Caenorhabditis elegans: one gene and its partners. The protein of the gene in region 3 interacts with the protein of the main gene of each other region in a biochemical or structural test. Each region holds a gene or a part of one and is shown on either strand. Other genes may lie near its edges.

Region 1 (9,382 bases), about 10 Mb from region 3:
TACCACAAAACGTTTCCATTTATATATTTCTATTTCTAATGATAATTTAAGGTTAATTTGCATTTTTCAATTTTTAAAAATCACCATTGAAATTTTTAAATTTTAAATTCTGGTGACCTTCAGAATTAAAGAATCTTGGAATTTGAGTGTTTCGTTGTAACTAAGTATTTTCATATCGTCTTGAAATTTGTTACTTGATATGTGAAACTTTTCCTTTTTTGCTTCCATGCGTTTTCACAAGTTCGCCGTGCATTCCTTCTTTGCCAACGCTCAAAAATGCTTGCTCTCTCGAAATTTGAGCCCATTCCAGCAAAAGGAGAAAATCTGAGCCATTCATCACAGACAAGAAATCTGTGTGAAGCGCTTCGTAGAATTAATGCATTCTTCGGCCCCACGTTTCTATCGTATTTCACATTTTGCTCGACTCGTGTGTTTTGAGTTGCACCCGTTTTCCGCCCCCATTTATCTGCGAGCTCATCGCCTATTTGCGCAAATGCCGCCTGGAAAAGTCAACAAATCAGCGTTTATGTGTGTGCAGTGTAGCACAAAAAGAAACCCTTTTCAACCTTTGAACCATGTGCTGGAATCCGAGACGCTCATCAATAAAAAGCCATAGAACACTATTTTTTGTATACTTCCGAGTTTAGTCTGTCTGGGGATCTGAACCGATTGAGAGGGCTAATCAAATTGTGAGTTGACGTAATGGAGACTCTAAAGCATCTGCGTCGTGTTGTGAATTGTTTACTTGAAACATCCACCTCCTGACCAGATTCCTTTTTATTCCCTTCTTTTGTCTTTTTGTTTCTTTGATGAGCCATTTCTCGGAATTTTAAGAAACGCCCAGAATGAATTTATGTACAGCTTCTTGGTTGAGATTAGATCGAAAAAAAAACAGAAACCATAGAGTGAACAATATAGAAGAAAACAAATTTCTCTAAACGATCGAAACTTTTCATTCCAATGTCTATTCCTAGACCAAATCTGCTTTTTATTTTAGAACTATAGCGCATTTGCAATTCAAAAAAACATAGACACTAAAATCATTTATTCATTGTTTATTTTTACTTTTTTTTTCAAATTTCATTGTTCCAAAGACTTTAATGGAATTTTATGACATTTCTGAATACTTTATTTTTAACTCCTTCAGTTAAAATCCAAAAACAAGGAAGTCGAGATATTTATACATTGTATGAAACTTGTTGACTGTTATATATATATATATATATATAACAGTATCGGGAAAAACCACTGCATGACAAATTGTAGTCTTCAATAATTCAACTTTATGACGGGGTGTTTCAAGATTCAAAATTTAAAATCCAAATTTCATATTGATTTCTGATTATTACTAAATAAATAAGTAAACCGCTTTTTTATAACCTATAAGATCAGACAATAATGCCAGGAAACCCAGGCTTAGTCTAGAAATCCGTATTCTCGCAGGACGCCAACCTGTTATTTCCTGTTTTTTTTTCTTCTAATGGGGATATACTTTTTCCTTTTTTGCCTCCTGAAATTGGGCAGAGACTAAAGACTATACACTTCCGTGCAGACATCCTATCCTATCACAATTAGCATCATTTTAGGACCTACTGCAAACTTTTTGACTTTTTCTTGCATGCTTATTCTGATATTTTCAAACTCGGATGTACTTTTCATTTTCATCGATTTATCTTGAATTTGGGCTTTCAGTCCATCACACCTTGGAAGTTATATATCAAAAACTGCTATCCTTCCACTCTTTTCTCATCATGGTCCTTCTATCGAAACCCATTCCACCAACATTCGTGTTTTTCCAATCGAATCTTTTCTCGACCCATTTTCTTTTTTCTCAAATGTCCTTTCATCCGTTGAACGTTTAAACGGCCATTTTCATGATAACACATTTCAAATAAAAACCTAACAACCATACCGAGAAACTCCCAACGGGTGCATATTTCTCAGATTTATTTTTCGTTAAAAAGTTCACTTGGTTACTTTCCTCATTTGATTGATGGTCGTTCCAGACATTATGGCTTCACATTTCTATATTTTTGATATTTCAAATTTTTTTTCTATCATAGTCTTGTTAGCATTTGCATGAAGGACTGATGTCTTAACAGAATTAGTGTTCAGACTAAATTTCAAATTTTATTTTGTAGAGCTTCCAGTATAAAAATAAGGACAAACATATTTGTTTCCAGATTCGCACACGGTTTAGATTTCACTATTCTACGTCCTTTCTTATTAGTCAGATTATTGTTTTAAAAAAACTTATAAATGTGTACATAGAAGGAACAATACTGTCTACATTTAGAGTTAACAATATAATATTTGTAAAGTGTATCACTTCAAAAGTAGTCATACATAGAAAAAATGTAGGGAATGCATAAATATGTAAAACCGAAAAGGTGTTATTAGCAGGTATCTGCAGCGTGAATGAGCATCCGACTTAATCAAGGACCTTAAAATGCCACATGTACATTTTTCCTGTTGTTTACAACTTTCCCAGAAGATATGTTAACTTCAACCTACATTTATCATTTACAGCACTAGAAAAGTACGGTAGGTACATATATCAAAGGGTTAGTGCGACGTGCAAAAAATGTGTCTCCGAAAAACGTTATCAACTTTCTCTTTATCAAAAATTTCAATTTGTAATCAGCGAAAAAAGGGAATAGTAAAAAATAGTAAAAGTAAAAAAGGGAATACTAGCTTAAAGAGGAAAACTAAGTTTTTTGGGATTCAATTTCACTTGTTCTAAATGTAGTTTGAAACTCATCAGAAAACAATCACGGAATAAGTTGGCTTGTAGAATCAATTAACGAGACCCGGAAGTCAACTTTTTGTTACCCTTTTTTTGCAAATTTGATGGAAAAAAGTCCCTCCGTTGTCTAATCCTTATCCCCCACTACGAACCAAGACCAATCCGAAAACCAATTGAGTGCCGCACGAAACCAAAATTGGGGTCCTATCGAGAGGACTGCTGACTGAAAGATAAATTATAGTATTCCTGAGTTTTTTTTTCTAGAGTGTGTGTATGTCTAAGTTGGAGTCAAAATAGCTTATGTTGTTTTTCTTTTTATTTTCAAGTTTTAAATTCTCTCTTTAATGCTATATGCTACCCTTCATAAATACGGGGTCATGAATTGAATTTTCCTGGAAAAAAAGAACCAAAATAAAATTAGAACTAGTTCCTTGTTTTAGTTTTTTATTTCACTTAAAGTTTTAATCTAATTGTGTCGTTTCCAGACATATATTTCTGCGATTAATTCTTACTTTCCAGGTTATATTAAAAATAATTTCATTACTTGACATTTTCCAATCATGGCTGTGCCTGATAGAATTAAAATAGAAGAAACTCGGAACGTGCATTTTCATTAGACAAACTTAATCAAGCCGCCGTGGTTGTTTTAGTGAGTCCGTCGACATCATCACACATGTGGATATGTAGAAAAAAGCAAAGGAAAAATGGAAGGGTGCTGCAATTTCAAAAGGGAACCCTTTTTTCTGTTTGTTTTTTGTTCCGATTGCATGTCATTTCTTTAGAGAAAGAACCACTACGGTATCTTGCACTTTTCCGTTTTTTTAGATTGTTGCTGGAGATGAAACATAACATACTGACAATTTTTAAAATTACATTATTAATTACATTAATTACATAATTACATTTTTTGAAATTTGATTTGGTGTCGCTCCTTTTTTAAAGTTAAGTTAACTAAAATTTGTAATAAAATCAAAATTCAGAAACTCGCAAAATGTCAGCCAAGTTTAGAACATTTAATGTTTAATAAATGTTGTCCCGTATGTGGCTATATTTTTTAAAATAATTTATCCGTGGCTACAAACAGAAATTCGCGCTTAACATTGCCTGCGCTTGTTGTCAAAAATTTCAACAGTAGAGATGATTGCTTGCCCAAAATTTATTTTTAATTTTGTTCTGAATTTTTAACCAATCATACTAAATATTTTATGCTTTTTAGCTAAATTTTTAGCTAAATTGACAATTTATCATAATTTCGGATTATTATAATATATAAATTTCTGTGAAGTCCAATATATCACAATTATCTGTAAGTGCAAAAACCAACAAACCCTATTTTCTTCAAATTATTTTGAGTTTTTTTTTAAACTTGTAGGTGGTATATTAACAGCCGAATGCATGCTCCTCAAAACGGATGTAGAAACATCTGCAAAATTTTCCAAAAGTTTTGTACATGATTAAATACATAGTATCAAGAATGTCACACCAAATAAAATGTTCTCGAAATATTCGAAATTTCTAGGTATAACTATTTTCAAATCTCATATTCTTTTCACAATTTTCAGAAAAATTAAAATTTCTGGCCATCGAACTTACTCTAGGCAGTAGCACACCAGAGTAAATAGCATGCGTGAAATTGACCGTAAATCTTCAGAATGCCACTTTCTAATGCCCACTTTTCTCATCTCTTACTCTAACGAAAAGTGCGGTTTTTCGGTATTTTTGGTTTCGTTTTCTAATCCCGGATGTTTCATTTCCTTCCTTAAACTTTGATGAGTTGCTGGACTATACATATTTCAAGAATCACAATACTTTTTGTTTCTATTTCGGAATATCAGTGTTTCATGACGTTTTTGTTCTTCTTATCTAATTCGATTCTTGACTTTTCACTCCAATGGACCGTGATCATTTTTTTGTTTCAGAGCGGAAATGAATCACACTTCTAGTGAAAACTTCACAACGGACACTACAGAAGCATTGCTCAACGATACATAGTAAGTGACTGAATTCTTTTTCAGAAAACTGATATCATTTTCTCGTCGGGCCCATGCTGCTCTAATGAGGCTAGCGTGACAAAATTGAGTGCACATACGATGAGAAAAATGCAAACTAGATAGATTTGAAGTGATGGGTGCAAAAAAGATGCAAAAGTTTATGATGCGTTTGCGTTCTGTTAACAAATGCATGAAGGATGTGGCTTAAGAGTTTAGGGTTCAGAGTTGAAAAAATAAAGTGTTTGGTTTGAAGATTTTATGAATTGTTAGATCGAGAATCGTATTTATTTCATTAAGTTCTTGATATTTTTATGATCTTTCTTTTCACAAATCCAATATTTCTCTCACTTGGAGTTGGAATTAAAAATGAAATATTGATAACTTCATTCTTCCTAAAAATCGAGTACTGCTTCAAGCAAAAAAGGCAAAAATCTTTCTGTTAAATATTCGTGGTTGTGTTGGCCTTTTTGTTACTGCCGAATCCCGGAATGTTTTTAATTTGATGCATCAATAATTTTCCTTAGGCCTAAAACTGCAAAACTTCCAACCAGCATATCTATTGCATAAGTACTGAGCAGAATCAGAATTTTTTTTTGACAAACAGTACGAGTCAGTTTAAAACATGTTTTGATTGTTCTAGAAATATTGGTCACTTCAGAAGCGGTATTTGCAAAACACAACGTTTTTTTTTTGTTATTTGTACTCAGTCTCGGGACCCTTTGGTTGTTGCTCTCTACAGAATAATAAGGAAAACTCGTTATCACGTGATGAACTTTGCTCGGCGGAATAAAGAATCTGAAGGACCCTTCATTGTGTTCTGCATTAAGCTGCACGCCATTTTCAAAAAGAATTTTAGTTTTGGAAATATTGCTATTATTATTATTCCTGTAAATGTATGCTTAGGAATTCCTTTTTCTAGTATTGTAGCATCTAATACAATTTTCATCAAAGACATAAATGTCAATTTCTATCGGCTGTTCTCTCCCTGTGAATAATACGACAATTATATTAAATTAATTTTCATTAGTGAATAAGCGTAAGTAAACTAGAAACAAAAACGTCACTGACCCCAGCTGAGCAGTGGAACAACATTGTTCTTAACTCAGTAAAAAAAAAGAACATTCCTTATTTTAAACCAGGCAAAAAAACAACATGCTCACTGAACGACTATGTAAATGTTCCAATATTCGTTGGAAAAAGTACACATCCCAACGCAATATTGAAAATCTCACGGAGCGACTATTTGTTGAGCGCATAAATCTTACAAATCTCTACTCAAGAGTCAATCGACTTTTTCATTTTCTCACACTTGAGACATCTACACATTCACAATAAAATCGAATTTTCCATTGCTTCTAATTGTTTTTATTTTTAAATTTTTTCCACACCTAGCTTTTGTAAAATGAAAACTTGTGTCGTAGCAAGATTTAATAGAAAAAATGATTTAAGAAGTCCATTGCAAAAGTATTAAATTTTTTATTATAATACCGGATAAGATTCACATAGAAAGTTTAGCCGAGATCAGTCCGACTAGAATTTGATGTGTCAGATTTGATATTTGGATTGCTTTAGAATCACAAAAAGTTCACCAGTATTAGATGCTATATTATTATATTACATGCTTCGAGAAAATCTAAAAAGGGCGTACTTTTCAAAAAGAGAGCATTACTACCATCATTGTATAAAAATTTGAACCATTCCAGTCAGACTGCAAGGATTTCTTTTGCGGTATACATAAATAACAGATCTCATATTCTATTAAATAGTAATTTCTAAGATCAATATAAAATTCGATGTTGGATTTTTGTAGTAGGTTTTTTTTAAAATACCTAATCCCATTTCACACGAAACATTGTACTTTTTTAGTTTGAATTTTTTTTCCACTACAATTCATGTTTAACTGAACTGAAATTTGTTCATTATTTTGTATGTATGATACTAAAATAAACACTGTGAAACGTTATCAAACTTATAATAGTACTTTTTCTAGCTCTCATTTACAAGTTTATAAGCACAAGCCCCCAAAGACTCGTGGTGTCAGAGTGTTCCATTTCGGTTTGATTCACGTAGATCTACAAAAAAATGCGTGAGAAGAGACGCAGAGTTCTCAACTGATTTTTCATGGTTAAGAACGTGCTGACGTCACATTATCTTGGGCTAAAAATTCCCTTATTTATTGTAGATCAAACGGTAATGGGACAGTCTGGTACCACGTGCAAAGATACTCTTCGAAAATATTGGTGAATTCCCTTTGTGAATGTGCATTGATTCTTTTCCGTCTTTAAACTTTATAATTCCATATACTGCAGAAATTTTTTGAAAAAAAAAACAAATTGTCATTTCAGTGATGTTCAAAACTCAATCAAAAATAAAATAACCCCAAAATAAACAACAACTCGATTTATGAACCTTTCACCCTATTTCAATGGAATGTACCAATGTAATGCACCTCTTCTTGTTCAGTCTCGTTTTTTTCTTCGGGTTTTCTTTGAATGAAAAAAAAAAGACGAAGCACATTTGCCCTCAATCTTTACAACAATTTTGTAAAAGGTTGACGCCTATTCTTTCGAACATTTCTTCCTCTTTTTCCTGCTCAATTTGTTGCTCTTTTCCCGCAAAAAGATATGACGGGTATGCAACACTTGAAAACACAGGAAAAACTAATCTTTTGTTTGTGATTTTGTACCTAAGCAAATCCGAGCACAAAACAGAGTTTGAAACTTTTAAAAAAGAATATATAAATTGTCTCTAGTGATTGGAGTGCATTAACTAACAAGGAAACGGTTAAATTATTTTTTAGTATCAGTGTCTTCCGAAAACCAGCTTATCTGGATTCTAGAACCGTTCTAACAAATTAATGCACCAAGTCACAACACTTTTCTCTCACTTGACTGACTTTTTTGTGAAAATGTTTCTCACTCAAGAGGTGATCTCTGTGTAGTTGGAAGTGGAAGTGAAAGAAAAAAGTAATTCGACACAGGTTCCTTTATTTATTATTTGTCGTCGTCGGTGAACTGTCATCCCGTAAACAGTAAACTTTTGTCAACGATCAATTCTAATGACCAAAAATCTTATCCACTCACTCCTCAAGAGCGAGTTCAAAAGGCACCCGAATTTCATGAGAAATTGAAACATGCGAATATTTATGAAACATTCATAGGAGTTTTTAATTTTTTTCCGGAGGTAACATCTTTAAATACTTCCTGTGTAGGTTGGCGATCTTTCGATATCTTTTTCAGTGCTTTTTCCTACTGTAAACTAGAAAAGGAAATCATTCTCTAGGTTCGAAGCTAGTCCTTTTTTTCTAAAAATGTTTCAAAACCAACATTTTGAATAAACGTGTTTGAAAACATATGCAACTATTATATAACTAATTGATAATTTGATTTTATGTATTACGGGTCTCAAAAGTGCCAGGCGGAAAAAACATCTGCTAATGTTGCACAATGGAAAAAAATTATGTCGCAATTCACTTCATCGGTGATGCCCTTTTTACAAGCGCAAATAACATTCAGTATAAATTTTTTTAACGTGAGCCACATAAACATCCTGATTTTCAATTTTTTTAACCCCTAACGCTATTCATAGAGTGAAATCTAATCGCAAAAAAACATTTAGATTTAAAAAAAGTTAGAAATTCATTTTACAGTTTTCTAGGAACGCATAAGCGCGAGCATGCCACTTGATAGAATATGTCGTTGACTTCTTTCAGGGTAAATCATTGTTTTCTAAAAATGACAGAAGCAGACCAAATTCCAAAAAAGAGGTGGCATATTCAATATGATGCACACGTTTTGTGAAGTGATCTTTGTATGTCAGTTTAGTTTCATTTTTCCTGTGAGCTGTTTGTTCAGTTGTGAAAATTTGTAACAACTAGTTAACATTGGTACTCTGCGTATGAAACATTTCAGGTGCAACATTTTCTTTGTGATTTTAAGTTATAACATAAATGAAATAAATAAAGATTACTATTCAAAAATTTTAAATGAAGGTTTAATTTTTGTATTGATCTGATTTAATTACTCGTATCAAAACAAAAAACAGTAGAAACTGTGGACAACAAAATGCAAACAAGAAAAGGAAACCAAGATATGAGTGGAGATTATTTTAAGATGATTTTCGTATGTAGGTTCATTGCAGTTTTCCAATTAGCTCGTATACAACCTCATCATGTTTAGAGTTTTTTTTTGTAATAAACTGATGTTAAAATAACAGCAAACTATTGTTATATTGTAAGATATGCTCCGCCTGAATCTTGGTTATTTCCTTTCATATCGAGATTCCTTCTAATTGTTAAAATTTGTTTGATAGCATCAAGTCATTAAAGATTGTCTTGCAATAACCACTTAATGACGCATGTTGCGTATAGACGACAGTTTTCCTCCCACATAAGTCACATTTTTTTACATTGTATTACAAGTCTTCTCAGAACATTTGAAATTATTTTTTCATTCAAAAATCTGACTGCTTTTCTCTATATGTGGGCTTCACCAGACCAGTGCTTCATTAATATTTAATATGACTCCTAAAATTCCCAATTGAGAAGGAACAGGAAACAGATGGAATGGCTTTCAATGTTTTTAACGTCTGTGTAATAAAATTTCAAATTCCGAGAAGTAATATCCGAATTCGATGGAACAAATTT
Region 2 (12,220 bases), on a different chromosome or scaffold from region 3:
AATAGTTGGTCGAGACTCTGGACCTGGTTCAGGTTTTAACCAAGCGTCAAATACCGCGATGTTAAATTTTTTTTGCAACAAACAATTTATTGCCAAAACTTCAAAAAATGTTGAGCTTTTGAAAAATGAGGATATGATAAACATAGTTTTTTTTCATGGCTACCTGCCTACGTGCCTGCCTATAGACCGGAAAATGTGTATTTTGTAGTAGACACAAGGCAGGCACGGAGCAACCAGGCAGGCAACTATGTGCCTACACACCAGGCTTAATTAAAACTGCATACCTCTACAGTTGAATTTACAGTTTTTTATCCGCTTTTCAGACATTTTCTTTAAATTTCCTTGAAATCTCGCCAAGTACTGGGACACGTGGGTTGATGCTCCGGTCATCTTGTCTGTGTGTGCTCACCATTTTTTTATCACTCATAGGTCAGCTGACCGTCAAAAGACGGAAAGTTAACTGATAACATATTGAAGGAAGGGAGAGTCACCTGAGGGAACTGCCCGGAAGAATCTAGACGCGAAAAGTATTATTTTGAAATTTACTGAAAAAGTGCATGATTTTTGAAATGCTAGGATTTTTGAAAAATCATGAGATTTATGATTAAGCAGGAGCAGCTCCAGTGGGGATTTTGACTAGAAAAACATGATCAAACGCCTGGAAATTATTATAAAATTTTTAACCCATAATTGCGGTAAATTGCCAAAATTTAAAAAATGTCAATTTTTGGCTGAAAATTAGAGCGTTTCAATATTTTTTGAGTATGAAAATGTAGAACAATTTTACGCTAAAAATACGAAAAGCGACAAATTTTGGAAAATATTTCTTGGAACTTTAGGATATTTTAGGCATTCTCTTGTGAATTTCAAGTTTTTTTGTTTATTTAATTGACAAATGAAAAATAATTTTTTGTCAATAACGCAAAAAATGAATATTCGAGAAAACGGAGCAAAGTATTTCGAAACAAAATGAGATCATTTGCTGTCTCTTCTCAAAGGGAGTCCCCTTTTCCTTTGCAAGGAGACAAACACGAATTGATCCATTTTGGAAGTGGAAGCCTAAGAGAAGCAAGAATAGAGAGAAGAGAGTGCAGAGCTCACGACCAAAATAGGGGTGAGAGCAAGGGAGCTCAGTGCCCTCGTCTTTCAAAAGTAGTGCCCATTGGAGAAACATTATGCAAATTGAAGAGAATTAGAGATACCGGATGAACTGAAGGGAAAGCTGTGTGACCAGACGATGGATTAGAAACGGAATTTGAGAGCATTTGCAACTGGTCTAATGCTTCCATTACTTGTTGGGTTAGTGATCCGATTGCGAGCATGGATTTAGGGATCCATGCTTATGTAAATTTGAAGTGAAATTTAAATATGACCCTGTAAACATTGGTTTCTTTTATAAATTTTTAATGAAAAGGGATCTGAATGAAAAACAACTGTTTATAAGTGTCAAAATTTACCTGTTCCAAATAATTGTAATCTTGAAACTTTTTGGTAAATTCAAAGGCGTAATTTTGAATTTTTTAAACAAATTAATCATGATTGGAAATTAAATTTAGACTTTAGACCAACAACAGAAAATTTTAGCAAAAATTGGAATTGGTTAAAATTTAAATTGACATTTTTGAAACAGTTTGATAAAAATATTTCAAAATTGGAATGTCAAAACTTTTTTTGAAGTTTTGAAATTCTCATATTTTTTGCCAATGCAATTTTCTAACAATGAATTTCAAATACAATTTAAAAAACTATTCAAAAACAACCGAAAAAATAAATTCAAAAACATTTAATATGTGGATGTTATCAATTTTTATCATAGTTACAACCTATAAATTGATAGCTCTTTGTGCACGCGGTTGTGACGTCAATTTTAATTGTTTTTGATGAAGAAGTATTGTTCAAATATTGTGAGAATGTAAATCCACACGGTCTGAGACTTAAAGATTACATTAAACCCATATTTCTTAATTTTGAATAATTTTTTTCTATTTTCCAAAAAAGTTAGAAGCTTTCTTATGGACTGAATTTTTTATTGAATTAAAAAAAATGTTTGTGGATTAATTTTAAACATAGTTCGTAAATTCTTCAGACATTTCCCCGCCATCACAAAGTTAATTTATAAATGTTAAATTATCCATTCTTTTTAATTTTAGAGTTTTCCAGGTAGACTCCGTTATAGAGGTTGCTTTAAAAAGTATCCAATAATTTTTTAACAAAAATTCTGATTAGATTGAGCATTTGGTCATTTTTTCAGCGGAATATTTCAATTTCGAAATAATTATATTCAGATAATTTTAAACAATGTTAAGGTTTCGAGTTCAGATGTTTTTTCTAAAATATGTCCTGTTGTTAATTCTCTGTGACATTAGAAAGCTTCAGGCGGTCTTTCTTCGCTCAAAACTAGCTCATTAAAATGCACAACCACCATTGTCGTGCACTTTTCCAATTCTTTTCTCAATTCTTACAAGTAAAGAGGAATAGACAAAAGAGCAAGAAAGCTTCTTCTCCCGGCACCAAGAATATCCAATTTATTGTTTCGTTTCGAAACAGACACAAAAATGGCAAAAAGACGACAGAGCACGAACCCGGAGGGAATGGAGATAGGAAGAGCGGAGGACAATGAGAGAAATGAAATGAAAATGGGAAGAAAAGTGAATGAAAATAATGAGAAAATGAGAAAATGATGAAAAAGAAGTTGGTGGTGTCACCAGTCTCGAGTTGAATTGGTATTCACGCTGCTCGGCCGACGACTTGAGCCATTGGCTTGTGGAATGACGATCCTGTAATTAGAAATAAAATGTTCGTGTGGGATCTTTGGAAAATGTATATATTGCCGGAGGGATCTAGAAAGGAAACGCATGGTATATTTTTACGTGTAATCCCACATTGTAAAAAAAAAACAAAAAAAAATTTGAAACACTCCTTCAAAAAATTATTTTACATTTTTCACATTATGAACAAGCTGCTAAATTTGTGTATTCTGCAAAATGGAATATCACAATATGTTGCCCCACATTTTTCCATGAGGCTTTATATTAAATTACAGAAATATAATTGATTGATCTGAAAATGAATTTCATTTTAATTGGAAATTTTGAAAAGGGGTTCAGAAAATGTTGCAGTTGTTTTTGATGACCTGGCATTTTCCACCTATTGGCAGCTTTCATTAAACTTTTGCGCCTTCATACGTTTCAGGCAAAATATAGACTTTTCAGATGTACCAAATTGTTTTCTACATTTTAATTAAAATATTGGATGAATATTGGGCAATTGAAAATTTCGTAGAATTGCAGCTCATGTATCTCTTCAAGAAAAAAAATACAGTAAAGAGCCACAAGTTTGAAAATGTTCCAGCACAATCTTGTTTAAGATGTTCGGCTTGCTTTTTTGGAAAATCTACGAGAAATTTCCAGCTGACAAAATACTTATGAGAATATTGGGAATACCTAATCATCTTTTACATTTTGTAATTTTTTTTCCAATTGAGCTTCTGGCTTCTCTTTTTCGCCATTTGCATAAAAATGTCTTTCAAGGACTATCAACTGTAACATCACTTACCCGTCTCGATTGATTGCTAGATGACTATTCTTCCTCGTCACAGATTGACATAATGGCATAAGCGGAACAAGAAGGAAACAATTTGATTGAAGTTCTCGCGGAAGACTTCGTTCACGTGAAGTGCATGTCGGGTCCGCAAGTGTGCCACGGCTGAAAAATTTAAAATTGTAGTTTTGTAAGGGATGGCCAGAAATTGTGAACTTTTTGGAGACCTGACCTTGGAACTTTTTCGGTGGGCTCTAAATAATGATGCGTAAAAACTGAGTATTGCCACTTTTTGATAACTAGAGAATTTCAAATTTTTTTGGAACAGTTTCACTGTAATTTTGGTAATTGTAGTATCCATTTGCAGATTTCTCAAAAATGCAGATTAAAAAGTAATTTTTGTTGGCTAAAAAACACAACGCTGGTAAAAAATGTTCTGTGAGGTTTCTATGATTTTAATTTTGAAATATTTCTCATTTCATATCAAAATTGTTCCCCTCGGATCCCTATGAAACAGAATAAAAAGTCAATTAGAATCAGTGTTGCATGTGAGTGTATTCTCTCTCTATCTCATTTTTCCACCCAATACCACCATAATCATATTTAGCCTAAGCACACATACACACACACACATATTTAGCCGGCGGCATCAAAAAGACGAAAATCAAGAAAGACTCGTGAAGAAAGTGTCTCTTACCGGAAATGATTGACACCTAGATGTCGCTCCAGAGTTCGTCTGTAAACCACTGAAACTGATGGAGAAGGTGTGAAGCGAGACAGAACGCCGACGTTTGTATGACGGCGAGCATTGGTGAGCCACGTCATGTCGTCTTTCAGGGCTCGTCGATGACGCTGGAAGATTTGAAAATTAGGGGAAATTAGATGAAATGATTGTTGGGAGGACAGGGTTTATTTTCAAATGTAATCGTTTTTGGTAAACCAGCGGTGCCCAGAAATCGGGAATTCCGGGAATGAAAAGTTTAGGGTGTTTCTAAATTTTGGAGATTACCGGTTTCCGGAAAATCAGAGGTTTCAACAATTGCAAATCATTTTTAATATCATTTTCTGAGACAATGCCTAAAACTAAGATTTGGAGCAATTTGAGCTTGGAAACCAGGGTTGCGGTGCAATCAAAAGTTTGACAGAAGCCGGTTGCTAAATTTCAAAAATTGTTAAATTTAATCTTTTTTTTCTAATATTCAGAGAAGTTTAAAACATTTGAGCTTGAAAGACGTATGCACATTTTTATTTATCGAACTTATATTATCGGAAATTTTAATTTTCGGACAGTCGACAGTACGAGAGTGGCAGGGCACGAAAAATAATAAATCTTTATAAATCTTTTTAGGAAGAAGTGCGAGTATTTTTTCACTATCTCTGTCCGATTGTTTATTTAAATTTAAAAATCCTAATTTCAACCATCAAAAAATGTATCAAAATTATTGAACAATTCCGATAAGCTCAAAAATGTGTTGCAAAAAAGAAAGCCAAGCGCGTAGCTTTTTCTGGAACTATCAAAACTATGACCGCCCACATATTGGCTTCTTCATCTTCAAAATTTTTGAGTTCCATTAACCTATCAAAATCAGAATGAAACACTGTAATTCTAAATACCTAAATGTGCAAATACCTTGCTCATCCAGAAATAGAGCACCGGATTCCATACGATCGAAGTCATCGCGATGACGTGCACATTGAGCAACTTGAAATACATTTGGTCCATCATTAAAACCTTGTAAACAGTTTGACAGAACTCGAATCGCATTCCGAGATCTCTGAACAAATTCACGGCGGACAACGGGAACCAGCAAGCCATAAAAACAATAACCATTAGAATCAACACGTACATCACTCGTCGCTTTCGAACTGCTGTTTGAGCCTGAAATAATTATCGTGAAAAACATTTTGCAAAAAAATTCCAAAAAGTATTTAGGGGGCACCCGGAGTTGAACCAGGGACCTCTCGATCTGCAGTCGAATGCTCTGCCACTGAGCTATACCCCCGACGGGAAAATCGGTTTTCCGTGTCGTTATGAAAACCCTATCGCTATCTGCTACCGTCTATGTCTCACCTGTTGTGCGGCAGTCAACATGGATCCCTCGTCGACAAGCCAGTCGGTTTGTACCTAAAAATAGACCATTTCAAAACGTCTCAATAGATAAAATACCTTTTGTAGAATCATTAAATAACAAAAAGACATGATAATTGCTGGAATAATCAGCTGAATAATCAATAAACTCGTAGTATATGTCAACTTGGATATTTCATCCGACTGCCAATTGAACTCGCCGCAAAACTGGAACAAATGAATGTTAGCTGGATATTTTTGAGGTTTTCAAACTTACATCTCCACATAATGTCACATTTTCAATAACCATTGTTTTCAAGTTCTGTGAGTAATATAGAGGATAACTAGCAAGGAAGGCGACCACCCATGTGAACATCAGAAGCCACTGGAAAAATATATTTGAAAAATTATTCAAGCTTGGGAATTTTCGAAATAAATTTAATTATTTAAAGTATTTAATGCACTAAAAATTAAATTGAATCTCGCAAAGCTACGTTCTAAACTTGAAAATATATACGGTATTTCTTCTATTAGTGTAACTCCGTACGTTTACAAAGAAACTTTCTGAAACGCATGCCTAAAGGCGCACGGGTTTATTCAGAAGGGTCTAATAAGCGAAAACAATTATTGCAACGCTGTTTTAGTTTTCGGCTGTTTTATATCCAATTTACTTATTTTAACCCACTGTCAAAAGTTGGCCAAAACCACCAATATGATATCGTAAACTTTTTATTTGCAGCTAGGCCTTATTTTCATGAATCCATGCGTCTTTAGACAGTGGTTTCAGAAAACTCCGTAATTACTGTAAGTTGACAGAGGAGCACCCGTGCGAGTTTTTTTCAAAATCCTCAAATTGGTCACAAAGACCCATCATCCAAAATTTGTAATTTTAGAAAAATTAGTGCTTTGCCGCTTTTTAACAGTAAATAAAAACATTTCCAATTTAAAAAAAAAAGGTTCACTCTGATGTTTTATTACTTTAGTGCCAAATGAATAGTTCTGAATACTTTTCCAACTGGAGCTACCCCAACTTTAACAGAACCCCATCTAAATTTTCAAATCTTACCCTTGCATGCCTATCAGACCATGGTTCCCGGAGTGGCGTCACAATACTTCGATATCTATCAATTGCGATGTAACACAAAGACCATGAAGAAATGAGCACTGAAAGTTAGGAAATTGAATTGATTCGGGGAGAGAGTTCGTGTGCAAAATCAGTACAGAGTTTTTTATTTTTGAAATTTGAAGCTTCTTTGTGTTTAAAACAGCTGAAAATATGTTACTGCTTTGAGATTTTATGCTGACTTCTGTTCTTCACAAGAGTCGTAACTATTTTTCAAGACGAGCGCCTGAGAACAGGCACAGAGGGTCTTTAAAGCTTAAATTAATTTGGGATAGAATTGTTTTGAAATCAGTATTATACTTATTCAGGTTTTAATTTAGGCACCTGCAACCTACAGGTATACCTCCACCCAAAATATGAGTTACAACACTAAAAAAAAAGAGTCGAAAATGTTTTTTTCGTAATCAAAATCAACTTCAAGTTTTCCCTTTTTCCCTTTACTTCCTCAAAAGCGACACTTTCTACTTTTTGGTCGGCTCTCCCTATCAAATACGATAAAGTGGACAATTCAATTGTTCCGAATGGTTAGATCCCGTTCTTACCCGAAAACGCCTGACAAGTTGGAACCAATTTACACATAATTATTCCAAATATCCATCGCTTCATAAACGCCAATACTGGAGTGATCGGCACCGCCGTGATGCAAAGAAGCTGGAAATAATGTATGACGTTTTTGGTTGACATTAAAATTATAATTTTGATTCTGATCTTGAGCCAGGAACTTTCAAAGTTCAATTCAAATAAAATCTTGAAAACTTACCAAATCAGAAACTGCCAGGTTTATCAAGAATATGTTTGCCACGGAAAGTTTCTTTCGCATTAAAATTGAAGTGATCAATAGCCCATTTCCAACCAATCCGATTATTAATATGAGAAAGTATAGTACTGAATATCCAAGCTGAAAATTGTTACAGTTATTTTGATGATGAGTTTCCGAGCAATAAATTTCAGGTACAAATTTTAAACAAATTTTTGAAAATTTATGATCATTGATTGATTTCAAGGTGGTTTGCAGAAAAATAGAGTTTAAGAAATTAGTTTTTATTCATTTCTAGTTTAATTTTTTAAAATAATGTGCAAAATAAACTTCATTAATTTTTGAAATCTTCGGATTAATTCGGACACTAACTTTTAATCAACTTTTTTAACTTTTAATATCCAAAAAGCATTCAGAACTTTTTTCATTTTTTTCTGAGCACTTCAGTTTGAAATTTCAGATAGGAGGATTTTAGATACGCAGGGTAATATGCCTAGGTTTAGAAGGTGAAGTTTTCAAGCTTTGTTTTCAGACTTATAGTTATGTAAGTTTAGATTATTAAATTTCATAATAATCTAAGTGAAAATTCCAAACAAAAAAGTGTTGTCTAGAAAAAATAAAGAAGTTTCACTGAATCACTCGCTTTAAGATCTCTGAAATCATAAATTAATTTACCCGAACTTCAAAGAGGACTGTCCAATCATTGAACTGCTGAAGAATGGCGTTCACATCTATACAATGATGAGATTCAGCATCACCCATTTTATACTGATTTTCTTTTTGATCCTAAAACAAAGAAGTGTGATGTCTGAGTCCTTTTTAACCGACGTACTAGAAGGATGAGGAGTGTGGGAGGAGTCAGGAAGGCGTAGAAGAAGAAGAAGTCGAAGATGATTAGAAAATGGAGAATAAGGAAGATGAGAGGCATGAATCTGTGGTGCGTGAGATTCGAACATTTGTTTTGTTTTTTGTTTTCTTTACGGACAATAGAGATAGAGATAGATAGGTGTTTCCTTGTGAAGAAGAAGAATTGAGCAAAAAGGGTGAACATCAGCGATCTAGAGTTTCGAATTCTGCGAACTTTGAATTACGAACAATTTTGCACTGACTTCCAAACTGAGAATTTGAGAGCAGGTGCTGAGAAACTTGATTTTCAGCTTGAATTTTTTTGATAAATTGTTAATTTTGTCACGTTTCGGTCTTCAGTCTATTGATATTTCAATGTGTATGTTTATTTCAGAGATAATGCTTCAGTTCCATCGTAACTATAGAGAAAATATACATATTAAAAATGTAACCAAATGAACAGGTTATTTCAGATACAAATTTACGAGGCATTTTTCAAACAAGAACACATATTCATGGATATCATGCTTTTGTGAGTTTACCGTAGTTTTTCTACTATTTTTTGGTACGATAAATAAGATACCAAAATCCATTTTTCATCAAAAAGTTCAGAAATACCCTGTTTTCCCTGGTTTAGATGGGCGTTCAAAATAAAAATAGCCAAGTGGATAGAAAGTTCAAAACCGTGGTATCCGAAATTGGAACTTTTATTTATTTATTTCCAGTCTAAAAATGAAGGAACTTATATTTCAATTAGTTCTAGGAACCTACATATCTTCATTCAAAAAATATTATGGTGGACCACACAGACTTCCTCCCAAGTACGGAACACCCAACAAAAAATATTTTTTCTGTGAATCGCAACAATTTGTATGTCTGGGTCATGGGGCTCACTTAGTCTATCCTGAAATTCAATTCAAAGTCCTCTCAATTTACATACACAAAGTGACTCAAGGAATGAAAGCAACGAAATTTCCCCCTCCCTTTTTTCCAATTTCCAACTCAATTGTCTTTGAGCGTTTGAAATTGAGACCCGCCATTTTGATAGTAAAAGCCTTACGTCGTTCGGTTTTTGCAAATTTCAAGAACATTAGTTAGAAGAAGGGAGGTTTTTAATTGCTATGAGTTCATCGATGAAAAATAATAAAATAATGAAGCATGATGATCAAATATTATTGAGACGAAATAAAAAATTAATATATTTTTCCAAGAAAAAAAACTTATGGAAAACAATAAACAAGTAAATAAGTTTTTGATATTTTAAAAGTAAACAGCTTTAATGTCAATTATCAATGCGGAGGTGGGAAGCAGCAAAGAACTATTCAAGTAATTTTTTTGGAATTTAATTCGAAGGTGGACTGTCAATTGTGGGGACTTTGTGTTAAACTGTTCCTACTTAACAAAGAAAAAACAATTGTTGTGAAATATTATTAAAAACCGAAATTTGGACTGGAAATGCTCTGGAATTTGTGCTCATATAGATGGAAATTTACAAATTCCGAGTAGATTCTTTTACTATAAAATGTTAACCCGAAAACTAAAAGAGATTCTAAACATAATATAACAGACAAACTACTGACTAAGATTTGGTGCATAGTTTTCAGTAAATAATTTCTTACAAATTTCTTTTAAAAATACTGCCGCGGACATCTAACGGGTTGATTCTATTGCTACAGGCGATTGCAGATGTCGAGTCAAAAAATAGTTCAATCCTTAAACCTTTATGGCTGTTAATATAGGCGTAGCATTTCAAAAATAATTGAATAATTGGGCATTCGAATGTTGGGGCTTTTCGAAAAGACGCCGCATTTGCGCAAAGTAAGAAGCTGGAAATAGTTGAGCTTGAGCTTCTGCGGACACATTTAAGCAGCTGAAATATAGCAATTACACTCACTCTACAAGCGTTTGAAACACTAAAATCTATTACTTGAAACTCGTCTGACAACAGTTTTGACTACAGAAAAAACAAAAAAACTTTCTGGCTCATTAAAATAATAGTGGAAACTATGAAACTATGATGATGTAAGAAGCAACTACTAAGAATTCTATGATGTTTTTAATTTATACATATGTTTTTTAATGGAGGACGAACTCCACTGTTTCTATAGAAATAAATGTTCACAGCTTGCGATAAAAATTGAAATTCTGCGCCGTATTTGGGAGACTACTATGATGTGTTTTCTGTTCCGATGGGCTTTTGAATGATCACTGGGATATTCGAATTTTTGGAAGAGATCTCATAACAAAAGATTTTGAAGCACTGGAGATACTAAGCTTTCTGGGAACTTTTCAATTTTAAGTGGGAATATTAACAATAGCGTTTATTATGAAAAACATATTTCATTCTGTATTTTTCGAGTGAAAAAACCTGGCGGGTGACACAATTTTGTTCAAATACATTTTGAAGGTTTAATCTCTGATGAACCTAAAGCGGACCGAATTCTGTGTGCCTTTTTACTGTTAAGGGCCTCTTGATTTTCCATAATTTTTATGTTGCTTGATAATAGAGTAATAAATTTCTTGCCTCAAAGATTACAGAACACATTTTGATCCCACATTTCAAGCAGACTTCTAAAGAAATCTAACAATAGCCTAACTATGATACCGAATATTTTCAGCTGCTGTAGATTTGCAAAAAAATAGTGACGTAGAAAAGTCAGAACAATTTTTTGCTGAACACTGTAAAATTACTCAATGGAAGTTTTAAAAATCTGATATTAATTAAAAAGAATCAGAGAATAATCAATCACTGAGGAAACTTTTAGAGAAGTTTTCTTCAACAAAAAAAACTGACACAGAGCTTTTGTGGTAACCTGCTCGATACATGAGCTAAAAATCAAATATCTGCTTAAGAATAAACTGACCCCGAGCAAGTCGCTACCAAGCATTTTGATAGCTCTATTTTCAAACGCCGACTACGAGCAAAAGTTTCAAAATGCAGCTGATTTGTAAGAGAACATTTTAGGATTTTTTTGCAAGGTGGTCTACATAAAGAACTGATCACGTTTGCTGTCTGATCTTTTGAGTTTCTAATAATCTAGTATTATCAGATAACTCCACTGATGATTCAAATACTAACACTTCCAAAAAGTCACAAAAACACACAACATGATTAATGTAGTGACGACAAAGATAAGAAGGAAGAAGTTTTTGAAGGTGATGAATGTTAGAAGCATCTACTGCTCTTGAGAAGATGAACGAAAATGGAAATGGAATAGAGATGGAGTAAGTTTGGAAAACGAGCAGCAGAAGCAGTAGAAGAAGAGGATGGAGCACACAAGGGGTGTTTGTGCTCGATAGGTGGAAAATGGGTTATTTGGAGAAAATATAGGAGAAGGAGGAGGAGAAGAAGCTGAACAAGTGTGGAGGGACAGATGATGATGATGATGAACCTCGTCGGAAGAAGAAGAAGAAGAATACTCCCTATGGCCAAAATAGTAGATGCTCCACTCTCGTGTATGTATGCTCACTGCCTTATTCTTCTCCTTGCTCCTCCCAAATTACGTTTCATGATGGAGATGATGATGGTGGTGATGATGATGGGCCCTGAGCACACATACATGGATAGATACTCACACAAAAGTTGTGTCGAGCAAAAAATGATGATGATGTTGATGAAAAGAGGGATGAAAAACTGAAAACTTCTGTGTTTATGGGTGGTGAGGATTGGCATTGAGCCCCGTTTCGATAAATGGGATGTGTGTGCACATTTGGGAACACTCATAAAATGGTGGGTGGAAGAGAGAGAGAGAGAGGGAGTTGTAGGATTTTAATGGTATTGCAGCTTAGTAGTACTACTCTCGGATTCCAAGCATTCCATTAGTTTGATTTTCTTGGAAGCTGGATTTTGGAACTTAGCCACGGAACTGTAAAAAGAGGTCTCTGA
Region 3 (8,976 bases):
AAAAAATTGTTTAAACGCTAAAAAACGAAGAACTCTAGAATTCAACGGGAAAAAGTCGTTCTTGCACCAAGGTGTCAGCAAGTGCGCCCCAGCCCAATTAGACAAGTGCGCCCCAGCCCAATTTGCCTGACAGAGACCGTCGCCCTCCAGTTATTCTTATTGTTTTCTTGGTGCAGGTTGGTGAGTGGTGTGTTTGCTCTCGTGGTGGTGGTCGAGGTGGTGTTCCACTGTTATGTTTTCGTAATCCTTTCTAATTTATGAATTATTTTTTCTGTTTTGGTATTTCTTGTACATGTTTTTTATTTTTCTTGACACTTTATACAGTTTCAGATAGTAATTTTTCTGATTTCAGGTAATGTCATTAAACCTAATACTCGTAGCGCTGCCGATGTTGGCTTTTGCCATACACATTGATTGTTCTGAAGAAAGTACATTTTTTTATTTCGACAATGAGTACAATTTATTCTTATCCGTCCAAAATGTTACCGAAGTTAATCGATACATCGCCTTCAAAGTCGACACGAATGCTGATGAGACAACAAAATATATGATTTGCGTGCAACACCACATGCAATGCTTGCAAGCCAACGTTGAAACTCCTGATAAAGTAGTCATTAACAAAAAGGTGAGAAAATGTTCTTATTGTATGACTAACTTTAAAAACTATGAAAAGAAACTATTAAGAAACCATAAGTTCATGAAAATGCCTTTCTGGGGCGAAAGTTGCGGCAGCAGGGAGAACATGCGACGACGAGAAATTTAGGTGCCTTCGCAACAAGATATTCCCGCGCCAAAACGGCAGGCATTCTCATGATCCTATGGTTTCTTAATATCTAGACAGTCTTCATTTCATCAATAAATTATTTTCAGAAACCCTCTGGTCAGGTTCGATATCTTGGAAAGAACAACTTTCTCTGTTCATTTGCCTCTTCAGATTTTCCGAACATTTTCCAAAAGAAGAAACAGCTACTCGTCTCGAAAGGAGTATATCAAGAGCCATTTGTGCTCATCAAGGGTGTCAATGTCCCGTAAAAATTTCGAAAACGGGACAACGGGAATTCCCGTTTTTTTGAAAACACTCAAAAACGGGACAAACTGGGCGGTTTAAAAAAAGAGTGCATAGTTGGCAAAAAATGAGGGAAAATGTCCCGTTCCCGTGAAAATTTTAAAAACGGGGAAACGGGAATTCCCGTTCCCGTGAAAACACCCCAAAAACGGGACAACGGGACAAACGGAAAACGGGAATTGACACCCTTGGTGCTCATTAAGAGCAAAAAGTTGTTTCAGTTGAATGAAAAGAACTTATATTTTGAAGAAATCAATAGCTTGTCAAAAAGCTCGAAATTCAAACCTGACGGAGGTTCACACATCTTTGAGCAAAATATTGAGCAGGAATATGTTCAGTTTTCGTATCCTGCAGAAAGAGACTCCAATGACGCCGCCGATTTGGACAGCCCGAGATGGGCCTTTCACGAACTTTTACACAAAACCACTAGACATATACGAAGTTCAACGTTTTCAGCAGCATATGGCCCAAGCTTGAATATGAAAACTTGGCCTGAATGTGAAGAGTGCCCACGTAAGCTCCGCACGTTCTACTCTGTGAGTTATTCATTGCTTCACGATTTTTTTAAACAAAAGCATATTTAGGACTTCCGATTGCTCATCTCCTCTAGTCACTCGTTTTTTCTTCGAATTTGTCAAATGAATGGAAAAATTAGAAGACGCTTGCACGCAGTCTCGAAATTGTAACGGATCTATTGGATGGCTTCAACAAAGAAATCTTCCATACCAACGCACGTTCCTCTCAAACTATGACATGTGCTCATTTACTGTCACTCTGCCCGGATCGGTGAGTATGCCTCTAATCTTTGGCATTTATATTATAACAGTTTTTGTAACCAAATTATGATTATGTGTTTTGCTCTTAAAGGTCAAATATATTAGCAGAGTGCATGCATTCATTCATAAAAACTCGATAAGTTAATAATGTGCGTTTTAGAACGAAGGATGGACGTTGGTTAAATGAAAAGAAATGGAGCTGTGAATCATGTACGAAAATGATCGATATTGCTATCAAAGTGAGAAATTAATTTTTTTTGTGAAAAAGAGGCAATAGTAAAATGTAAATTTTATAGCTATTATCTTCATCGGTCAACACATCATCAACGCATTTCTCCCCCAATTCCTCTGTCCGGACCAACGTAAAGAGTGTTTATCACACACACACACAACAACGACCGTACTCTCATCATCATGGCGCTACGCACATTGGCCTAATCTTCAGTCTTCAACACCGCCGCACGGGCCCGACGGCCAATTAAATGGATGCGTCAAATGTTGTGATTCAAGGTTTTTTCCTTTAATCACCCCTAATAAGTTAATTGATTAAGAATTTTTTGTTAGTCCTATCAGTACCTCATGGGTTGGATACCACTCCGAAACATACGGTACTTAAAATTATTGTTAATGAACGTAGTGAAAAGTGAAGCCATAATTAAGTAGAAAACTTGTTGACTTTGTTGACTTGCTTACAATTAATTTTAATATTGATGCTCTCTCTGAAATGAAAGAAAAATTGTACAGTACTAGATTCATCAGTGTATTGGGAAAAGCAGTTTGAAAAAATCTTCATGATCCCAGATTCAATTAATCAAATCTGAAACTTGAAAGAGAATTAAGGACGGAAATTACCTGTGCACATGAAGTTGGTTATTTGATAATTCAAAAAACTTTTCTGCGTTTCAAATTTTTTGGAATCATTTTGATACACATGCTTCAAATTTTCAGCAGCTTCATGAATAGACTCATTTCACACTGGGTTCTGTTTAGACTTATCTAATCTGATAACTGACATAACACAAAGCATACTTTTTCATCGTTTGAAAGCTCAATGAATCAATTCCTAAAATGCACAGAGTTGGAGGTAATTATTCTTTTCAACACACGTCAACCATGAACAAATCTGCTTTTCAACATTGTTCAGAAAACAATTGATAGACACACAACTACATTACTCAAAAATTAGACGAACTGTGTTTGACGTAACAGGAAATGATTCATTTAATCGTATGGAGCTCTAGAATTGACAACGTTTAGTATCATTGTTGAAAAGAGACAAAAACTTAATATTAAGTGATTGAAATGAGACGCTCGGAAGAAAAGAAGAAAAACAACGAGATCATCGAATTGTCGCTGGCACATTTTACATTCACATTCATCTGAAACTTGATACATGTCAGACTGGCAAAATCTTATTTAGAAACTTACAATTTACTTCCGTCCGAATCGGAGAACACCTGGCACACTTTTCTTGAGCAAAACCCCTGCGTAATGCTCTTCCAAGTCGGATCGCTTTCCAAATCTGAAAACAAAAACCTTGGTAAGCTGGATGAAGTCTTAAAATGATCGGACCTCAATACACCGGGAACATCGCGTTTTCCGAAACGGAGAACTCCGGGCACTTCACTGCGCTTGTCGAACGAATCAGCCATGTAATCTCTCTTTCCGAATCTCAACACTCCTGGGATCTCCCGTTTGTCCATTGGCACATCACGTTTTCCGAAACGAAGAACGCCTAAAAACTGAGATGTTATTTGATTTAGAATAGATGATGATGCCACCTGGAACACTTTTCTTCTCATCGAAATATGAGCGTTTCCCGAAGCGAAGAACTCCTGAAAGTCAATTTTCAGTATGCAATAAACCAACAAGGAACTACTTACCTGGAACACTTTTCTTCTCGTCAAAATATGCACGTTTACCGAAACGGAGCACTCCCGGCATTTCTTTTTTCTGCACACTGCTTTCTCTTTTTTCCCAAACACCTCCACGTTTTCCAAAGCGCAACACACCTGGCATCGCCCCATCAAAGTCTGAAATTAGACAAAAAATTGATGGTTAGTTGTACGAAGAATTTTGTACCTCTTTTTGAGAATACCCGACCGTCTTGTTTCTCGTTGGTCCGAGTCACTTCGATATCCTCTGCTGGTATGTCTTCTTCGACGATTTCATAGACTGAAAATATAAGTTGTTTCAATGTGCCGTCTTGTATTTAGGGCTGCCATATCGGACGTCCGGCGTCCGACAATTTCCGAGTTGAGCCACTCATTATAAAATTATATGATTATGTATAGTGAGTGGTCAAACTCGGAAGTTATCGGACGCCGTGAAAAACTACCCCTTGGAAAAAAAAGTTTGCGCCCCTATCGGACGCTAAGCGTCCAAATTCCTCCTAATTGCAGTTATGTATGTGTTTCGATCGACCTTACGAGAATTTTCAAAAATTTCAAATTCATGCTTTCAAATCGACACAATTCAATTGTGCACCCCTGTTGAAAAAAGAAACGAAAAAAAACACGTTTCTTGTTGATTGAAATCGTCGAAATACATCACTTTGGCAGAACGACAGCGTCATTTTACTTGGCTTCCCGCGTTGGTCTAGATGGGTACAGAGCACCATCGAACGAAACATGTCCCAACGGGCCCCGACAAGAAAGAATAAAAAACTCAGCATCCAACTCAACACTATCTTTCCACAATATCCATAGGCGCCCCCTTTTTTTCCCGCTACATCTTGTTTTCATCCAAGCGTTTTTCCTTCCAAAAATACATTGGGCCACTCTAGATTATAGAAAGTTTGAAGGTCAGTGGAAACACTTTTCAATAAGACAATAACACCAAGTCTAGAGATTCACGGACCGTGGGAAGCAGCGAAGATTATTCATAGGTCTCACTGGAAAATGAATATCACAGAAGCTTATAAAAACTAATGAAGTTTCAATACGGATGCGATGTTTGAACACCGCGCAAAATTATTTCAGCTAACTACGTCAGGTCCAGAATTTTGAAAAAAAACTAATGTACGCGAAACCAACGTTTCGACAAACTACAAAGTTAAAAATTTTAAAATAAAATTCAAGATTACATTAAGACAAATTATTGCCGTCATTTTATTCAATCTTCCACGCTGATCTGGGGCTATCCAAACTCCCTTCAAACCCAATTAAGAGATTGGATCAGCCAAGACTTTTCTTTGTTTCGTTCATCAAGAACTTACTTGGTTCGGTATATGCGAGCGCCCCACGAAGCAAACAACACAGCGAAATGAGAAGAACGCCCGACCACCGTTGCATGTCTAACCCTGAAATTATTATTTTTAGTTGTTAAAGCAATCGTTATTGTAGTTAAATAATAAACGTCTTGATGCCAATAATATGAAATATGAGAGTATTAAGCTTCTAGCCTCTTTCCTCAAGAACGACATCCCATCAAATGACACTCGCTAAAAAGTAAACGAACATTTTTAGGAAGATACGAAGAAGGAAGAAGTCACACCAGATCCTGGATTCCCCGCCTTTTCTCGTTACCGTAGAAGGTGAAGCAATGAAAAGTGACACGCTGACATCTTGACGTGGCTCATGGGTCGAGGGGAAGAAGCTGAGGAACTCGGGGTGTGTGGTTTTGCGGAAACGCGTGTACAAGGTATTCGAAACACCCCCCCCCCTTATTTGAAAATAGTGTCATCGGTGAGTGGCACATTTATCTAATGAGATTTCACTCATGTCACTTCCTAGGCGGGAAATTCAAAAGTTCGAAAACAAATCGAAATTTTGAATTACTAAATGTGAGAGAATGATGGCGTATTTTTTTGTTTAATATTTGATCTAAGAAGAAGTAACTTGAATAGACATAACTTTCGATCTTTGGAAGGAATTTTAAGGCTTGGGAGGAAGATTTTTCATTCAAAAAAAAACATAATTGATCAGCCCGTTCAGACACAAAAAAGACTATTTTGAAAATTGAGAAACACGGTAAGCTGAAAATTTAAAAACTTCTTTGGTTTCAGTCCTATTTATATGAGGGGTGGGATCTATTCGAACGGACCATTGAGTTGAGGCTCCGCCCCTCCTAAGAAACAACGACGTCATTTCTTTTTTCATGGTGGAAAAAAGCACTGATGTAGAGAATAGTTGAAGAAAGTTAGAGTTGTAGAGAAATAAGAAAAAAAGACACAATACAATTGAATAAATCGGGTGGGACCAGTAAGAACTTCAATTGTGCGGAGTTTATCTGCACAGGTTGTGGCGCAGCTAACGAAAAGAAGATTATCTTTTTTTTCCTAAATTCTCAGCGCACGTAACACACACGTCGTGTCATCGTCGAATCTCATTTCGGGGGTAGATTTCAAATAGATTGGCTGGTTTCCACTCAATTTAAAGAGGGTCAAGCCCACGCGTTGATTGAGGGAAGACTACAACATCTACTTGAGCTGAGTCAAATAACACGAACCCGCCAAAACACAACTACAACACACGCTACCTTTGAAGATGATCTATGAATATTCATAGAGTAAGCTTGGAAAAAAATCAGTGCAAAAATCTATTCCGCCCAGGTCATTATATTGTAATTCAATTGATCTACTAACACTTATTGGCAAAATTAGCTTTGGGCTTGTATCTGATCATTTTACAAAATAGAACATTCGGCTCATAAAAAGTAAGATTAAAGAAAGTTAGAAAATAAAGGTTCCGTCTCAGAAGTGAACTTGAACTGAGAAGTAGTAATAGTGTATATTAAACTGCAAAAGGTGGCATTGAAAATCATAACAATAGGTTCAAGCTTTATTTTCATGTTTTCGTGACCCTATTCCGGCTAAGCTGGGATATTTATAGAGACTGGTTAATATTCAGTAAAAAGTTGTAAGTTTTACTTTTTCATGACCATGTGGGCTTTCAATTAGCCATGTCTTAATTAACTTCATAAGAACGACGGAGTTTCATGCATCTTTCTAAACATACGAAATGTGAGATTAATTTATTCGCAGTGTGACAAACTTTAAAATTATTGTTAATTTCAGGCACTAATAAAGAATTTTAAAAATTCATTAAAAACATCAAAATCAAAAAACAGTCCGGAATTTTTTTAAAAAAATCTCACTTTGAAATTTATCTTTTTGAGATAACCTGTGAGTTTTTAGAACAATGCAGAAGTTTGCAGTTAAATTTTGGTTTTAAAAAATTGAGAAAAGTAAACGTGAAACGACGCAGAAATTTGTGTTCAGTCAAGAGCACAATTTTTTAAGAAGTTAGTTAGAACAATATATGTTCGACAAAAATACTACAACTATATTGTAAAAATAGAAATTCATTTGGTGATGTGATGACTGTCAGGAAATGAGTCGAAGCGTGATGTAGGATTTTTGTGATGTGGAAAACAAGGAAATTTAAGAAGGATACTGGAACAAACTGACAGGAAGTTCATCATTTTTTCAGATGTCTTATTTTTGTTTATAAGGTTTTTTTTGTGAAAAGCAAGAGTCCAAGATTTGAGTGAAGAAGAGCAAAATGTGAAAGCAATAAATTTATGTAATTTCTGTTCCATTTCAAGTTGTACTTAGCCTAAGGAAAACAAAAAATTTAATAAAAAGGGAAGAAACACAACTTTTCCCCGTTGAGAAAAAAAAGAAAAATGTGGCATTTTGCCAAAAATTTAATTAGAATATTTTTTTTTTAGGGTTCTTACTTGGTACTAATACACTACTCTTTTTGTCCATATTGGACTTAGGATTAATGTTTCTAAGCTTGAAAATGCGAATTTTACGTTTTAATTAAATGATCATTTCTAAAATAAATAAATGGAAAACGCATTGGAAAATATTTTGAACCAGGTATACTAAACAAGTACCAAAACTGGACACAGTTTACATTATTTTATTTAGAGATTTTATCGGCGAATGCGCGAAATGTCAGTGATTTCAATTTCAAAGTTAAGTGTGTTTCAAGAATTTATAGATTAACCTTACATAATTAGCATCCTGATTAAAAAAAAATACCAGCAAATGTCGGTTTTTTTTTAAATTTTTCGGCGTTTGGCAAATTTGGTAATTGCTTGTTTTTGAAATTTTCCGCATTTGCCAAAATTTCCAAAATATGAGAATTCGCCAAAATTGCCGAATTTGCCGAAATGACTGAAATTGCCAAATAGCGATTGCCGTGCACCACATGTATACCCAGCTCCATCTTACAGAACCAAAAAGTAACATCATATTTAGAATTTCTACTCGTAAGCACTGAACAAATCAGATCAAATTGAACGTGACGCCTACGACCTCATTCATCGGCGTTGAAATCAGATGTGCTTAACTAAATCATATTCTGCTCAACAAACATCAAAAAGAGAAATAAATAACTTCTTTAGTTTCTTTTTTCGGACCAACCTTCTTCTCGTGGGTGTCTCATTTTTCTATTGACTTGGTTTCGAAAGAGAACTTGGTGTTTGGAAACTTAATGATTACATTCTCGAATTTTCGAGTTCACGTGAATTCGCGTCAGATCGCATTTTTTCACTCATTTTCAACTAAATGACGCCGGAATATCGACGGAAATAGATTGAAAAGGAAGAACCTGTCAACACGTAGGCTCTACGAGACCTGCAGCGTTTCGGTGTCTTAGAATTTGTTGAAATTGGATTAGAAACTGAGTTGAGTCCTCTCTTAATACTGAGTTCCGCGCTACCTACATCACTGAAATCTAGTCAGTTGAATTGAGCCAATTGAATTGGAGAGAATAACGAGAATTTTAGGCGCAAAGTCTGGGGAATTCCAAAGAAAAAACTTTAGGGAGTGGTGGAACATGAATTATGAGCAGGATATGGTACTTGTAGCTCAAAAATGGCAATTATTGCTCTTGGAAATGTCTTTTGAGATCAAAAATGCTCGAGGAACTACAACTAGAAGCATAATTTTTGAGCGATGGTGTCCATTATGTTCGCGCTTCTTGTGCACTTCGATATTAAAACAACTGAAATGTAAAAATTGAACAGTGGAATTTTTAACAAAGAGTAATACTGATCAAGATAAATTGGATGAAATAATTAAATGAAATGAAATGGCAAGTATGTAAATTTTTTATTACTATAGCATGTAAGATTATTTTGCAATCGGTAAATTTTAGCGCAATGCGGAAGGAATTCAGC

The links.
Region 1: the proteins of flp-18 (region 3) and npr-10 interact in a test that uses a peptide from one of them, tested with the Caenorhabditis elegans proteins (one large-scale study listed by BioGRID).
Region 2: the proteins of flp-18 (region 3) and npr-13 interact in a test that uses a peptide from one of them, tested with the Caenorhabditis elegans proteins (one large-scale study listed by BioGRID).

The regions. Positions count from the first base shown.
Region 1 is NC_003284.9:13,027,987-13,037,368, reverse strand, and holds the start of npr-10 (G-protein coupled receptors family 1 profile domain-containing protein), read left to right. Parts: upstream 1-4,664; 5' UTR 4,665-4,737; intron 4,738-9,382.
Region 2 is NC_003283.11:14,850,316-14,862,535, forward strand, and holds npr-13 (G-protein coupled receptors family 1 profile domain-containing protein), read right to left. Parts: upstream 8,289-12,220; 5' UTR 8,251-8,288; coding exon 8,164-8,250; intron 7,630-8,163; coding exon 7,492-7,629; intron 7,383-7,491; coding exon 7,274-7,382; intron 6,773-7,273; coding exon 6,675-6,772; intron 5,994-6,674; coding exon 5,886-5,993; intron 5,837-5,885; coding exon 5,708-5,836; intron 5,666-5,707; coding exon 5,612-5,665; intron 5,544-5,611; exon of another isoform or gene 5,472-5,543; intron 5,420-5,471; coding exon 5,171-5,419; intron 4,393-5,170; coding exon 4,238-4,392; intron 3,706-4,237; coding exon 3,556-3,705; intron 2,778-3,555; coding exon 2,702-2,777; 3' UTR 2,510-2,701; downstream 1-2,509.
Region 3 is NC_003284.9:3,009,144-3,018,119, forward strand, and holds flp-18 (SVPGVLRF-amide 3), read right to left. Parts: upstream 5,144-8,976; 5' UTR 5,136-5,143; coding exon 5,060-5,135; intron 4,018-5,059; coding exon 3,925-4,017; intron 3,876-3,924; coding exon 3,726-3,875; intron 3,678-3,725; coding exon 3,624-3,677; intron 3,578-3,623; coding exon 3,415-3,577; intron 3,365-3,414; coding exon 3,274-3,364; 3' UTR 3,271-3,273; intron 3,222-3,270; 3' UTR 3,047-3,221; downstream 1-3,046. Other genes in the region: Y48D7A.1 (TransThyretin-Related family domain), read left to right, coding at 356-625, 871-1,032. UniProt on the Caenorhabditis elegans protein: FMRFamide-like neuropeptides. Ligand to G-protein coupled receptor npr-1. Involved in modulating locomotion quiescence during the sleep-like state called lethargus which occurs during molting between larval and adult stages, acting via npr-1.